3 linked regions of the Yarrowia lipolytica genome follow. The protein of the gene in region 1 interacts with the protein of each later gene in a pairwise test. Links are inferred from orthologs where the notes say so. Each region holds a gene or a part of one and is shown in the gene's direction. Other genes may lie near its edges.

Region 1 (4,481 bases):
CTCCAAGGTATTCATCACCTCGGGGCTGGCCAAGCTACTGGTTTCTACCAATCCTAGTCTTGTTTTCGGCGCCAAAATCTCAGCCTCGGTGGCTGTCATTCCTCTGTTGGCCAACATAGACAACGACTTTTCGCCCCTCCCTCTTTTGGATTCATTCGAGTCTGCCCTAGCTCTAACCAATCTCGCCTCTTTTGACGATACCACCCGAAAGGTGATTATCAGCCACGGATGGGAGAAGATTGAAAACATGATGACTTCGCAGAACCCCATGGTGCAACGAAGTGCCGTGGAGCTGGTCTGCAACCTATCGCTTTCGCCCTACTGTGCCGAGAAGTATCTTGACGGAAGTAAGGCAGCCAACTCGCGTCTCAATCTACTGGTTGCTCTGACAGATCTATCTGATGAAGCGGGACGTCTAGCGGCTATGGGTGCTCTAGCCATGCTGTCCGAGTGGGATCCTGCTCCTCCCATTATGGTCAAGAACGAGAAGCTGATGGCCTGTCTGCAGCGCATTCTGGACAAAGATACAGAGGTGGAGATGATCTACCGAGCTGTGGCGTTAGTGGGCAATCTTTCGCAAAAGGAAGGAGGCAAATTGGGCTCTCTCAAACCTGGCCTATTGAGAGTCAAGTCTATGGTGAAGGACATGACAGCAGAGGTCGATGACATTCTTACTAGACTCAAGTAGAGGGCCAATTAGAACACTGTAGACACGGCTAAATAACGATTGATCAAAGAATGTGTCCGAGCTACTACAAGAAGGACAGTATGTAGGTACGCGGTAGCTGCAGTCACACGATGTCTCGAACTGTATTGGAAAGCAAAGTGGACGGACCTGGTGAACCCTCCTGTTTTTGAACCCTGCTAATGATTTGAAATGCCTCTTCTATGTGCTCTATCAAATGTCGCACACTTTTAGAGAGGCTGGTGGACGAGGGATGAGAAGGTCCCAATGACCAGAATGTACCAGTGTACACGTTACCACTTGGTTCTAAATACCTCACGCTATTACTAAATGGCTGGTATTTACTTTTGTTGTATCACGGACTGTACAACCCGTACTCCGGATGAGCTTCAGTTCATACGGTGCATACACGGCGTTGTGCTGTATGGTCTTTGCATGGAAGTGGTTGCTGTGGCGACAGGGCGCTCTCGTACACCTATCGTATGTACAGGCTTGTATTTACAGTCTGTAGCTAGCTACATGCTGTATAATTAGCAGCTCAGGTACCAACACTAATGCCCCTTCTTGCTATCTACAGTAGTGCTCGCCAGATCAATCTACCTGTACGTACAGCCCGGTCTCGGGGACAGTGATTTATTTAGACCCTTGCAACTTGCTTTTTCTCGGTGCGTAAATCCGTGATTTTAGTGAACTTTTTTTGCCAACAGAGCCAAATGAAAATTTAATCTGATTGCATGCCCCTGGCGAGCGTTACAGACGAGGAGGTGCCAAGCCGGCAATGTGGGAGGTGCAGTACAAGAGTCGAGACTACTAGTTGGAGGCTGAGTCGTGGCTGTGCATGAAGCGGCTAAGCGGAGCGGGAGCTCATGGCGCGTCACGTGACGGACTGCCGCCCTCCAACTATCTCTATTTTTTACAGCTCCATGTACCAGGCAAGACCACTCTAAGCTGCTTCACTTTGTCTTATTTTGCCTTCGTCTGCCTGGCGATTATTCTGCCCTTGCCTGTGGATTAAGGTGGTGTTGGGACATAGCGCAAATACACTGCACACACGTACAGGCTCAGACGCGTAAGTAGGCTGTACACACCTGTACACCTCACCCACACCCACCAAGTTCTTCTCAACCAGCTTGCTCACACGCCATGAGCACCGACGCAGAACTACAGACCATCTCGGGCCTCTCGGTGGCGTCCAAAAGCGCCCCGAGCACCCAGACCGAAGGAGTGACCGCCAGTGGCAAAGTGGAGTCGACTACCAACGCCGAAGAGGCCACCAGTGACGTGGAAGAGGAGGAAAACCCGCTGGTGGTGGCAGCCCGAGACGGCAACACCGCCGAGGTCAAGCGGCTATGTGAATCGGGCAGCTATTCGGTTCTGGACACCGCTGAGGATGGAGTGACTGCTCTCCATTGGGCGGCAGTCAACAACCGAATCAGCACGTGCCAGTATCTGGTAGAACAGGGAGCGGTGGTGGACGCCAAAGGAGGCCAGCTGAATGGCACGCCACTACACTGGGCTTGTCGCCGGGGACTGGTGTACATTGTACACTACCTGATCCAGAACGGAGCCGATCCGCTGAGATCAGACGTCCAAGGCTACAACGCTCTGCATCTCGCCACCCATTCGTCCAACGTCATGCTGCTGGTTTACCTGTTGCATCAGGGCCTTCCTGTCGATTGCCAGGACCCAAATGGGCGAACCGCTCTGCATTGGGCAGCCTACCAGGGAGACGCTCTGTCGGTAGACGTGCTGCTGAGATGGGGCTCGGACGTGAAGATCACAGACACCCAGGGCTTTCTGCCATTACATTGGGGTATTGTCAACGGCTCGCGAAACTCGCTTGCCCGTCTCATCGAAGAAGGATCCGACATGTACGCCAAAAGCAGTGACGGAAAAACTCCCCATGTCATGGCCGCTGAAATGAACACCACCGCACAGCTGGAGGGCGCTCTCGACGACTGTGGACGGTTCCCCGACGGTAGCCAAAAAACAAAATACTTCGACGCCCGAACCACTAATCTCTTGTGTTTCTTCACCCCCTTCATTCTCATTTTATTGGGCCTGGTGCTGTGCACCTTCTGTGGCCCCATTTTTGGGATCATTCTCACCGTGGCGACCCTGTTCGGATCTATTAAACTGCTAAAGACACTTGTGCTACCGTCTCTTTACAACGGACATGCTGCTCTACTGAAATCACCCTTCCAGGCAGGTATATTCACGGGCTCGGCCTTCTGGGTGACAGTCAAGTACCTAACTTCCGTCCTTCCGGCTACTTTTGCCTCCCACCCCATTCTCAACTTTTTCTTCGCCTCCATATTTGGTCTGGCCATGTACTGCTTCTTCAGATGCATGTCCATGGACCCCGGATATATCCCCAAGCTTTCTGGCATCACCGAGCAGAAGGAGGTCATCGAGACGCTCATTGAGCGGGGCGAGTTTGACACGCGACACTTTTGTTTCGTTACCTACGTGCGAAAGCCGCTGCGGTCAAAGTTCTGTAGACAGTCGAAACGAGTCGTGGCCCGGTTCGATCACTTTTGCCCCTGGGTGTGGAACGCCATTGGAGTCCGAAACCACCGCATGTTTGTGCTCTACGTGCTGTTTCTGCAGATTGGCATTCCTCTCTGGTTGGCTCTCAACAGCGCCTACTTTGGAGAGCTGCTTGAAATCAAGCGATGGGATCCCCTGGAGTTCTACCTTGTCATCTGGATCTCACTGCAACTCATCTGGATCACGTTCCTGTCCTTTGTGCAGATTTTCCAGATCTGCAGGTCACTCACCACCTCCGAAGCCGTCAACCTGCAAAAGTACGGCTACATGGGTGCTGATGACTACTCGTCGGTCCCTCTAGACCACTCTGCCGCCACAGCATCAGCCAAGTCCGTTATGAACGCCCATGGACACGCTGCAAAGTCGCCCTGCTTTTCCTCGGTGCTCAAACTGCTTGGAGTCGATCAGTTTGTGGCTACTGCAGGTGAAGCCATCAAGCATCGGGACAATCGGTCGTGGAAGGAGAAGAACCCCACCGACTCGGGCGCCGGAACTAACTGCTTCGACTTCTGGTTCCCTAATGGCAAGTTTGACCTCCTGGCAGTGTTTGAAGCTGGTAAGGGTGGAGGAGCCATTGGAGGCCATGCGGTGGACTACTACAAACTGTGGGACTTCCCCGATGTGTCTCCCAACCAGCAGCAGACCAACAACCGGTCCACTCGAGAAGATGGAGAGGCTCTTCTGGCCGAGTCTCAAGTTTGAGCATTGATAGATAGAGGAACGCTAACGTATATAATAAGCTTGTATAAAGAGAGAGTGTGTGAGAAACGTACTTGTACTTGTACATGTGCAAATATTTGAGTATACAGTATGACAGAAATTCATTTTTGAGTACTCCTTGTACTTCTCATAAGAGACACTCAAAACTACAATCAATGTTACTGAGTTTTGTTGAGTCTCTCTACTACAAGTAGTAAGTACAAGTATGTACTAGTATTTATTTTTTAAACTTTCAGACGCACAAGTTTTACACCACCTAAACAAGATCACCATACTTGTACTTGTATGCCAAATAGCCATAACTCATAATAAATTTACAGTACAAATACATATCCAACCCATCCGACCATTAGTAATTCCCCTTTTCTCCTCTTCAAATCACATACTCTCCCTGTTCCATCAACTGCAATGCTTTTTCCGTGGGGTTTCGAACCCGTCCTGACCGGCTCGTTGGAGACATTGAAAACGACATACTGAGAGGCTCCTTCTTCACTTTTGGAGACATCGATGGAGTCTTAGTTGCTGC
Region 2 (3,407 bases), on another chromosome or scaffold:
GGAGTGGAGCAGAGAGCATGGCTGGCGAGTGGCAAAGCGACCTGGCGTTGACTACTTCCTGGGCTACCTCGGCCAGTACTATGAGATTGTTCTTTTCTCTTCTCAGTACATGGCCAACTGCGAGAAGCTCATCATGAAGCTTGATCCCTACCACGCCTGGTTCTCCCACGTTCTGACCCGAGAGCACACCACTTACGAGGACGGTAAGCTGGTCAAGGACCTGTCTCTGATGAACCGAGATATGGGCAAGATCATCATCATCGACCCCGATACCGGATGCACCATGAAGCAGCCCGAGAACTCCATCCCCATCGAGCCCTGGAAGGGAACTCCCGGCGACAAGGAGCTGGTCAAGTTGATCCCCTTCCTGGAATGGCTGGTGTCTCAGAACGTGAACGACGTTCGACCCATTCTTAAGGCCTTTGATGGCACCTATCTGCCTGACGAGTTCACCCGACGAGAGGCCATTGCCCGAGAAAAGTTCGAAAAGGACTGGTACGCCAAGCACGGAAAGGACGGCCAGTGGGCCTCCAAGTTCCTGGGTGTCTCCGAGCCCAAGCAGCAGAAGCCTCTGATGCCCCACGACGTGATGCGACGAGAGGGCCAGAAGCAGTACCAGAAGTTCCTGGAGTACCTGGCCGTTGAGGGCCCCAAGCTCAAGGCCGAGGAGGAGCGAATGATTGCTGAGCAGAAGGCTATGGGACCTAAGAACCTGTCGGAGGCTGTCTCCAGCATTGGTTCTCTACCTCCTGTGCCCCAGCAGCCCACTGAGCCCAAAGCTTAGATGTATATAGTATGAGTTAACGTGGCACGATGAGTGATAGAGCCATGAGCGAGCCATGTGTGAGCCATGTGTGAAGCGAATGGTGAAGCGAATGACAACGCGATTGGATAAATGTAGCTGCTGTAGCCGTAGTCCGGGCCTATTCAATCGCTGGCTGAGAACTGTTAGTCACTGCCCCTTCTTCGCTACAAACTGTCTGATGTATGTCTGTTGCACAAGCGCATATATATATCCCGTGTCTGGTGAAGGGAAAGGACGACGGCTGGGGGAAACACAAATATATATCAAACGCGATGTGCACTTTTCATATCAACGACTTGCTGTTATCTTGAGATGAGCCAGATTGACTCTGATCTGTTACCCTGATAACGACGCACCCAGTTTATTTATATCTTCAGTATGCATTGATACGAGCTGCCTCGGTATGAGCCCTGGTATCTCTTTCATCAGACTATAAGTACACACCAAGTTTTTTCCGAAGTTGATGAACATACAAGTATTAGTATGAGTACATTATTCTGGAAGAGTGGCGACGAAACTGTAGTCTCGTTCTTCTGACTTTTCTCGCTTACAGTCCTGAGCCGGCTGAACAGGGCTGAGTTTAGATCCTCCTCATGTCTTAAACTCGTACGTCACATGGTGAGTTATATATAATGGACGATGATGGGCGATGTGAATGAGTAGAACAAAAGTAGTGAGAGGTGTTTAAACAGAACGTGCAAAGCTTCCAGCTGTTCCCTCTCACTTGTCATGCTCTTCTCAAGCAACCCTGTCTTAGCTATTCCCGCATCACTCATCTTAAATGTGTCCGGAGATAAGTAAGCTTCAGCTGCCTGTACAGTTTGCGAGTCCCAAACTATCCAGGCGATAATAATAGTTCTCCATGAGTACATTACCGCGGGTATCTGAGGTTGCTTTTGGGGTGTCATTCTGTAACAGTCTCATCTTTTTATATTGCTCAATGCAAAAATCGCATTTCCAGGTCTCTGTGGGGCCCACCACTTGTCGAAACAGGTGTTGTTATGATGTCGGATTTTCATTTACCCTACTCACGTGACGCCCAAGACATGTAGTACAGAGACTTTAATCAGACTGAACCATCAACAGCTCTGCGAACTTGCCTTCTTACGACCCCACAATGGCCCAGTTCCCGCTGTTTCAGAAATTCCAAAAGGCGATACAGCACCCGCCGGCCCTGTCGCTTGGGCTGCCCATTTTTCTGACCGTCATTTTCCTGTTGTCCCAGCGATATGTGTGGATTGAGGACGACCTGGAGCTGCGAAGCACCGCCCTGACCAATTTCGAACGTGAGTACACCGCAACAACACACCACTATTTTCCCCCTCGCTAACTAGTCAACCGAATCTCATTCTACCCCCTGGTCCATGCCACCTGGTTCCATCTGCTGCTCAATCTTGTGGCGCTACAGCCCATTGTGTCGCAGTTTGAGCGAGTCAATGGAACTGTGCGAACCGGAATCGTGCTCAACATTCTCGCTGTTGTCACTGCCATTCCCTGGTGTCTGTTGTCTATCGGCTTCTTCCCCGATGAGGCTGTCCTGGGCTCCTCCGCCTGGATCTTCTCCTTCATGGGATACTGGGCCATCCGGGAGTCCTCCAAGCAGCCTACCACCCAGCTGGCCCCCAACCTCGTGGTGCCCACTTGGCTTCTACCCATCATCTACCTGGTTGTCATTGCCATTGTCATCCCCAGCTCTTCCTTCATTGGCCATCTGCTGGGACTGATTGCTGGCTGGATGATGGCTCTGGGCTACCTGGACGTACTCATTGAGCCTTCGTCCAAGGTGGTGCTCTGGATCGAGAACAAGATCTCCAGAGTCATTGACCTGATCCCCTCGTCCATCGTCACTTTCTACCGAGAAGAGGGCGCTTTGGACACTCGAGCTGCCGCTCGAGCAGACACCAACCGGTCCCTGTCCGTGTCTGGCGGCAACTTCCTGGGCTTCCAGGCCAACTCCAGCCAGGCCGATCTCGAGGCCGGTACCCGGTCTCGAGGCAACAGCAGCGTTGACCCCACCACTTCTTTCCCTGGAACGGGCCAGACTCTTGGTACCCAGTAAAGGACGATACCAAAATGAACGTAGAACATGTAAACATGTAATGAGCCATGACCTTTTAAGTGAGTTACAGGTGTAGGGTGTTTGTGCGACTGGTGTAATACATGTACACAAGAAATATAGTGCCCTGTATCGTAGATTGACTACTGAAGATCCCAGGGTGGATGGATGATGTACATACCAGCTACACTTTGTAGTATCGATATGAAGCTGGGAACGCACAGTGGGACTATCACGATGACAAAAACTTGAAACCATGCAATTAATTATGTGTACTCAATCGTTCGTCTTCACAATCTACCTCTGTATCGTTCTCTCTCTCTATGATCGTTGCCCCCTTCATCTCAGAATCAAAGTTCGGGATATGCATGTCAGAAATTTTTCTGTTATCTCGCAACTACACCTGCACATTCCCCAGAGGACATTATTGGACCAGCTAACATGTTGACAGAAGACCAGATTGACGACGTCATGTTCGACGCCCGAGGAGGCGAGCTCGAAAGCATTGAAAAGTTCTTCTCCGCTCAGGACAAGCCCCTTGAGACC
Region 3 (4,283 bases), on another chromosome or scaffold:
TGGGAGTTACACCTTTTGTGTGGTCAAATCCCCTGCTAGGAAAAGTATAAGCAACGAGGAAGTTCGGTATGAGAGTGCACTGTGATTATGAAAAATCGTATGTTCTCTGAATTGAAATTTCTGAATTGAAATTTGTAGGGGTGGTCGGCGACTGCAGTTCGGCCCGTGTTTCAGAATCTGGTAGCTACAGTACTGTACTGTTATAAGGCACGGCCCCGTACAAGTACAGTTTATCAGTAATTCGTGTTACAGTATGTACCTTCTGTACTTGCACATGACTGAGAATAGGCGCCTAAATGTAGTTCCGTGGTGACTTCGGGTGGCTATCGACACAATAATAGCTCAGTGACTAAAGGCACAGCAAAACCTCGTGGCTAGTACGAGTGCCGTACGACTTATTCATAGAAATAATGTGCGTTTTTGTGTTGCACCCTGCCTGCTACTCCCGACAGCCTTGCTCGTCCCGCTATTGCACAAATACAGTATGTACTTGCATCAGTCATGAATTCACAACGTCATGATCAACATGTACATAGTACACACAGTACAGTAGTATGCATTTGCACTGCCCTGGAGAATGCGCACGCGACCACATTCTAAGGTTTAGTTTTATTTTGCTACCAGGTTAACGCTCGTCTACATATATATATATATATAAAATTACTTATATATACTCTATGAGTCCATACGTAATGTTCAATACAGCGTCCAATACCGGGGGTGGGGGATATTTTCGGCAGCGACAGAATATCACCTGAACAAGTTACTCAATATATTATCGACTTCAGATGGGCAAATTGTGAGTCTCACATCATTTTCAGTACCAGGTACTGGTACTTGTACAAGCTGCGCGATGACCAGTTGCTTGTTGGTGTCATAGCCGGCTGTATTGTACAAACGCCTATGCTTGTTTTTAATATATCAACAGCCTATAATGCAGGAAGTATGGCCCGCTCCAACTGAAGTTCTCTATTAAGCAACTACGAAATTAGCTACCTTGTACTTGTACAAGTACAAGTAATACTTGTCACACTTGTTGCATTATTGGGTTTATCGAACCCATTACTGCAGGGGCCTCCCGTGCTCTGTACATCTGATACTGGGACAGTATGTATGTGTATCTCTTCTGGGCTTGCAGAAAGATTCTTCAGGAACTCCTCAGTTCGCGTGCAAGGAAGTCTGTACTAAAACTGGTACTACTTGTACTGCCTTACTCGTATGGTAAGTATACACGTGTGACAATCGTACCAGTACTAATGTAATGTTTATACCGGTACGAGAGCATCTCACACTATATATTTGATTCTAATAACATCCTATTCGAGTACGAGTACATGCCGTACCTTCACTTTCGGAATCTGTGAGTTTGAGTTCATTTTAAGTAATTAACGCGAGAGATGGAAGGTGCATGGGAAGCACGCGTCGTATTCGGATAACACTCAGACACTCGCAGCACGGTCATTTAAGGGCGGGTCATTCGGGCACAATTGCTTGTGTAAATTTAAGCCTCATATTTCACACACATACAACGCTTCCAGTGGTAATTTCAAGAGCCGTACTTTTGTCCTGTTTCGGATAAAAGGTAAGGGTTAGCCAGTTGGGCGGCGTGTCATGTTAGTAATCACAAACCAAAGATGCGGATGTGACACTTGCATTGTGACTCACAAGTAGATTGATCCGTCATCGTGAAGAAACACTTTAGTTCACTTGTTTTATATTCGTCATGCATATTTGGACAGTACTGTACTATTCCTACAAGTTTATACAGTATGTACTTGTAGCTCTGGCTTGCCCGACACTCCTGAACTGCACAACGCATTGGAATAAGCTCGGTCAACTTCAATCATTCATTGCACGTCCACTTCACCAACCACTTCGAACCACAAGAAACAGCCATGAAGTTATCATGGAGTTTATTCTGTGGACTTGCTTCACTAGCCTTGTCACAATTTGATGAGGCACCACCGTCGCAGTCGGACTACTTCGTCCGCCACATTCCTGGACTAGACAGCGTGGACAATTACACGATGCATTCCGGAAACATTCTCACTGATGCAGCTCATAACGGAAACCTGTTTTTCTGGCTTGTTGAGGCTCAGTACAAGATCACAGAGCGCCCTAAAACTATCGTGTGGTTCAACGGAGGACCTGGTTGTTCATCAATGGATGGAGCCCTGTTGGAGGTGGGCCCTTTCCGCATCGTGGATGACAAGCTCAGAGTAGATCCGAACAAGGGCTCTTGGCACAAATATGCCAACGTGTTATTTGTTGACCAGCCCTATGGAACTGGTTATTCCTATTCGGACACGGATTCTTATCTGACTGGCCTCGGGCAGGTAGGGGATGAGATGGATTCATTCATGACACAGTTCCTCAAATTGTTCCCAGAAAGAGCCCATGATGATTTTTACCTAGCTGGAGAATCTTACGCTGGTCAGTACATCCCTTACATCGCAACCAAATTACAGCAAACGAGAACTGTCGATCTTAAAGGTCTACTTATTGGAAACGGATGGATGGACCCCGCGAATCAATATTACCAGTATGTGCCATACGCATTGGACTATGGAGTGATTGAAAAGACGGAAGAACATGTGAAGGATCTCAAAGAGCTTACAGACACTTGCGAGCGAGCCATTAACATCGCCAAGGACAAGAACAACGGGAGACTTCCCGTCCATATTCGAGCTTGTGAAGATATCATGAATGGCATTGTGGAACTGAGCAGAAATGAGCGGAGTGCACCAGAATCTGAAGGAATATGTGTTAACTACTACGACGTATCCAAGGAAGATAAATGGCCATCGTGTGGTATGAACTGGCCTGAGATTTTGCCATATGTCACTGATTGGCTACGACAAGACGCAACAGTGCAGGCTCTGAATGTCAACAACGATAAGCAGGAGTCGTGGCAGGAATGCAATGGAGCAGTTGGTTCCCGCATGCGACAGGGAAATGACGATGCTGCAGTTTACCTGCTACCTGACCTTTTGGAAAGCATGGAAATTCTATTTTTCAATGGTGATCGAGATCTCATCTGCAACCATTACGGAAATGAGAGAATGATTGAACAGCTGGAATGGAATGGAAAGAAGGGTTGGACCGAGGGCTTGGAGCTCGACGATTGGGTTGTCGATGGCGTTTCCAAAGGCAAGAAGCAAAGTGACAGAAATCTGACATATGTTAGGATATACAATGCTTCTCATATGGTTCCCTACGATGAACCCGAGGCTTGTCTGACAATGCTGAATGACTTCATTGGCGTCTCCAAGGCTCTGAGCGACCTATCTGGTAATAAACCTGGAAGGGGTAGTGAAAACCCCAGTGACTTGGACGATCAAAAATCTGGCGACCAAAAATCTGACGACGACAGTTCCAGTGACGATGATGACGACGCGGAACACGATAAGAAAATCGCAAGTGATGCCATGTGGAAGGCGTACTACCAGGCTGGATTTACAGCCCTGATCGTTGTCCTCATTATCCTGGGGCTCGCAGGATTCCTGTTTTGGAGAAAAAACCGAGGCCATATTTATCAGGAGGAGACATCGCTCCTCGGTTCATGTTTCGGAGGTATCTCCCGTTGGAGAAACAGTTCTGGTGGACCACTCTCCAACCAACAGGGTACTTTCGACTCCAGGCAACGACTGATGGAGCCCGGAGAATACTACGATCTTGGTGAAATTGCTGAGGAAGACGAGGATGCCGAAGAGCTTGTGATCCGAAGGCCTGAAGTGTAATAAACATAGGATGATAGAATAAAATAAAATACCGTCGTGAGCACAAATAAACCCTATCCTAGTCTCAGTATTCTATTGTAAACGTGTGTATCTGTGTTGGTGGCAGTTACATTGTGTAATTTGACTACAGCACCATGCGCTGACTTGCACCATGGAGAACTCCGTACCACTTTTTTTGAAATTATTCTAATGATTCATTACAGCTATATATATAATATATATATATATATATATATATTATATACCTCTGCCTGTAGTAAGCTGGGTTCGATAAATCATAAACGTTGCGATATGCATTTCGTTCGAGGCACTGCCATTGTTTGAGGTGATGAATTGTGTATCGTCGAAAAGAGAAAGTCACTAAACAAAAAATAAAATGTAGAAAAATGTGATTCATAGTAACAAATTGTGGAGAAGACGATAAAGGCGTGTGCATTTTTTTTTTTTACAAATAAAATAGATTAAACTCAATAGAATATGAGAAGACTGCCAGTTGTCTCACTATAGGGAAAAAGTTGCCCAATGATATGTTGCTGTGACAAC

What was found. The genes of interacting proteins can lie anywhere in the genome.
Region 2: the proteins of YALI1_E25761g (region 1) and YALI1_B27280g interact in binary tests that used the Saccharomyces cerevisiae proteins (3 or more experiments, as listed by UniProt). The link is inferred for Yarrowia lipolytica from reciprocal best matches to the Saccharomyces cerevisiae genes AKR1 and RBD2.
Region 3: the proteins of YALI1_E25761g (region 1) and YALI1_B07162g interact in binary tests that used the Saccharomyces cerevisiae proteins (3 or more experiments, as listed by UniProt). The link is inferred for Yarrowia lipolytica from reciprocal best matches to the Saccharomyces cerevisiae genes AKR1 and KEX1.

The regions. Positions count from the first base shown.
Region 1 is NC_090774.1:2,574,329-2,578,809, forward strand, and holds YALI1_E25761g (uncharacterized protein), read left to right. Parts: upstream 1-1,828; coding exon 1,829-3,937; downstream 3,938-4,481. Other genes in the region: YALI1_E25729g (uncharacterized protein), read left to right, coding at 1-688; YALI1_E25812g (uncharacterized protein), read right to left, coding at 4,329-4,481. UniProt on the Saccharomyces cerevisiae protein: Palmitoyltransferase specific for casein kinase 1. Palmitoylates isoforms YCK1 and YCK2 at both C-terminal cysteine residues, which is required for their proper plasma membrane localization.
Region 2 is NC_090771.1:2,726,062-2,729,468, forward strand, and holds YALI1_B27280g (uncharacterized protein), read left to right. Parts: upstream 1-1,922; coding exon 1,923-2,091; intron 2,092-2,139; coding exon 2,140-2,864; downstream 2,865-3,407. Other genes in the region: YALI1_B27254g (uncharacterized protein), read left to right, coding at 1-784; YALI1_B27293g (uncharacterized protein), read left to right, coding at 3,303-3,407. UniProt on the Saccharomyces cerevisiae protein: Probable rhomboid-type serine protease that catalyzes intramembrane proteolysis.
Region 3 is NC_090771.1:714,313-718,595, forward strand, and holds YALI1_B07162g (uncharacterized protein), read left to right. Parts: upstream 1-1,895; coding exon 1,896-3,740; downstream 3,741-4,283.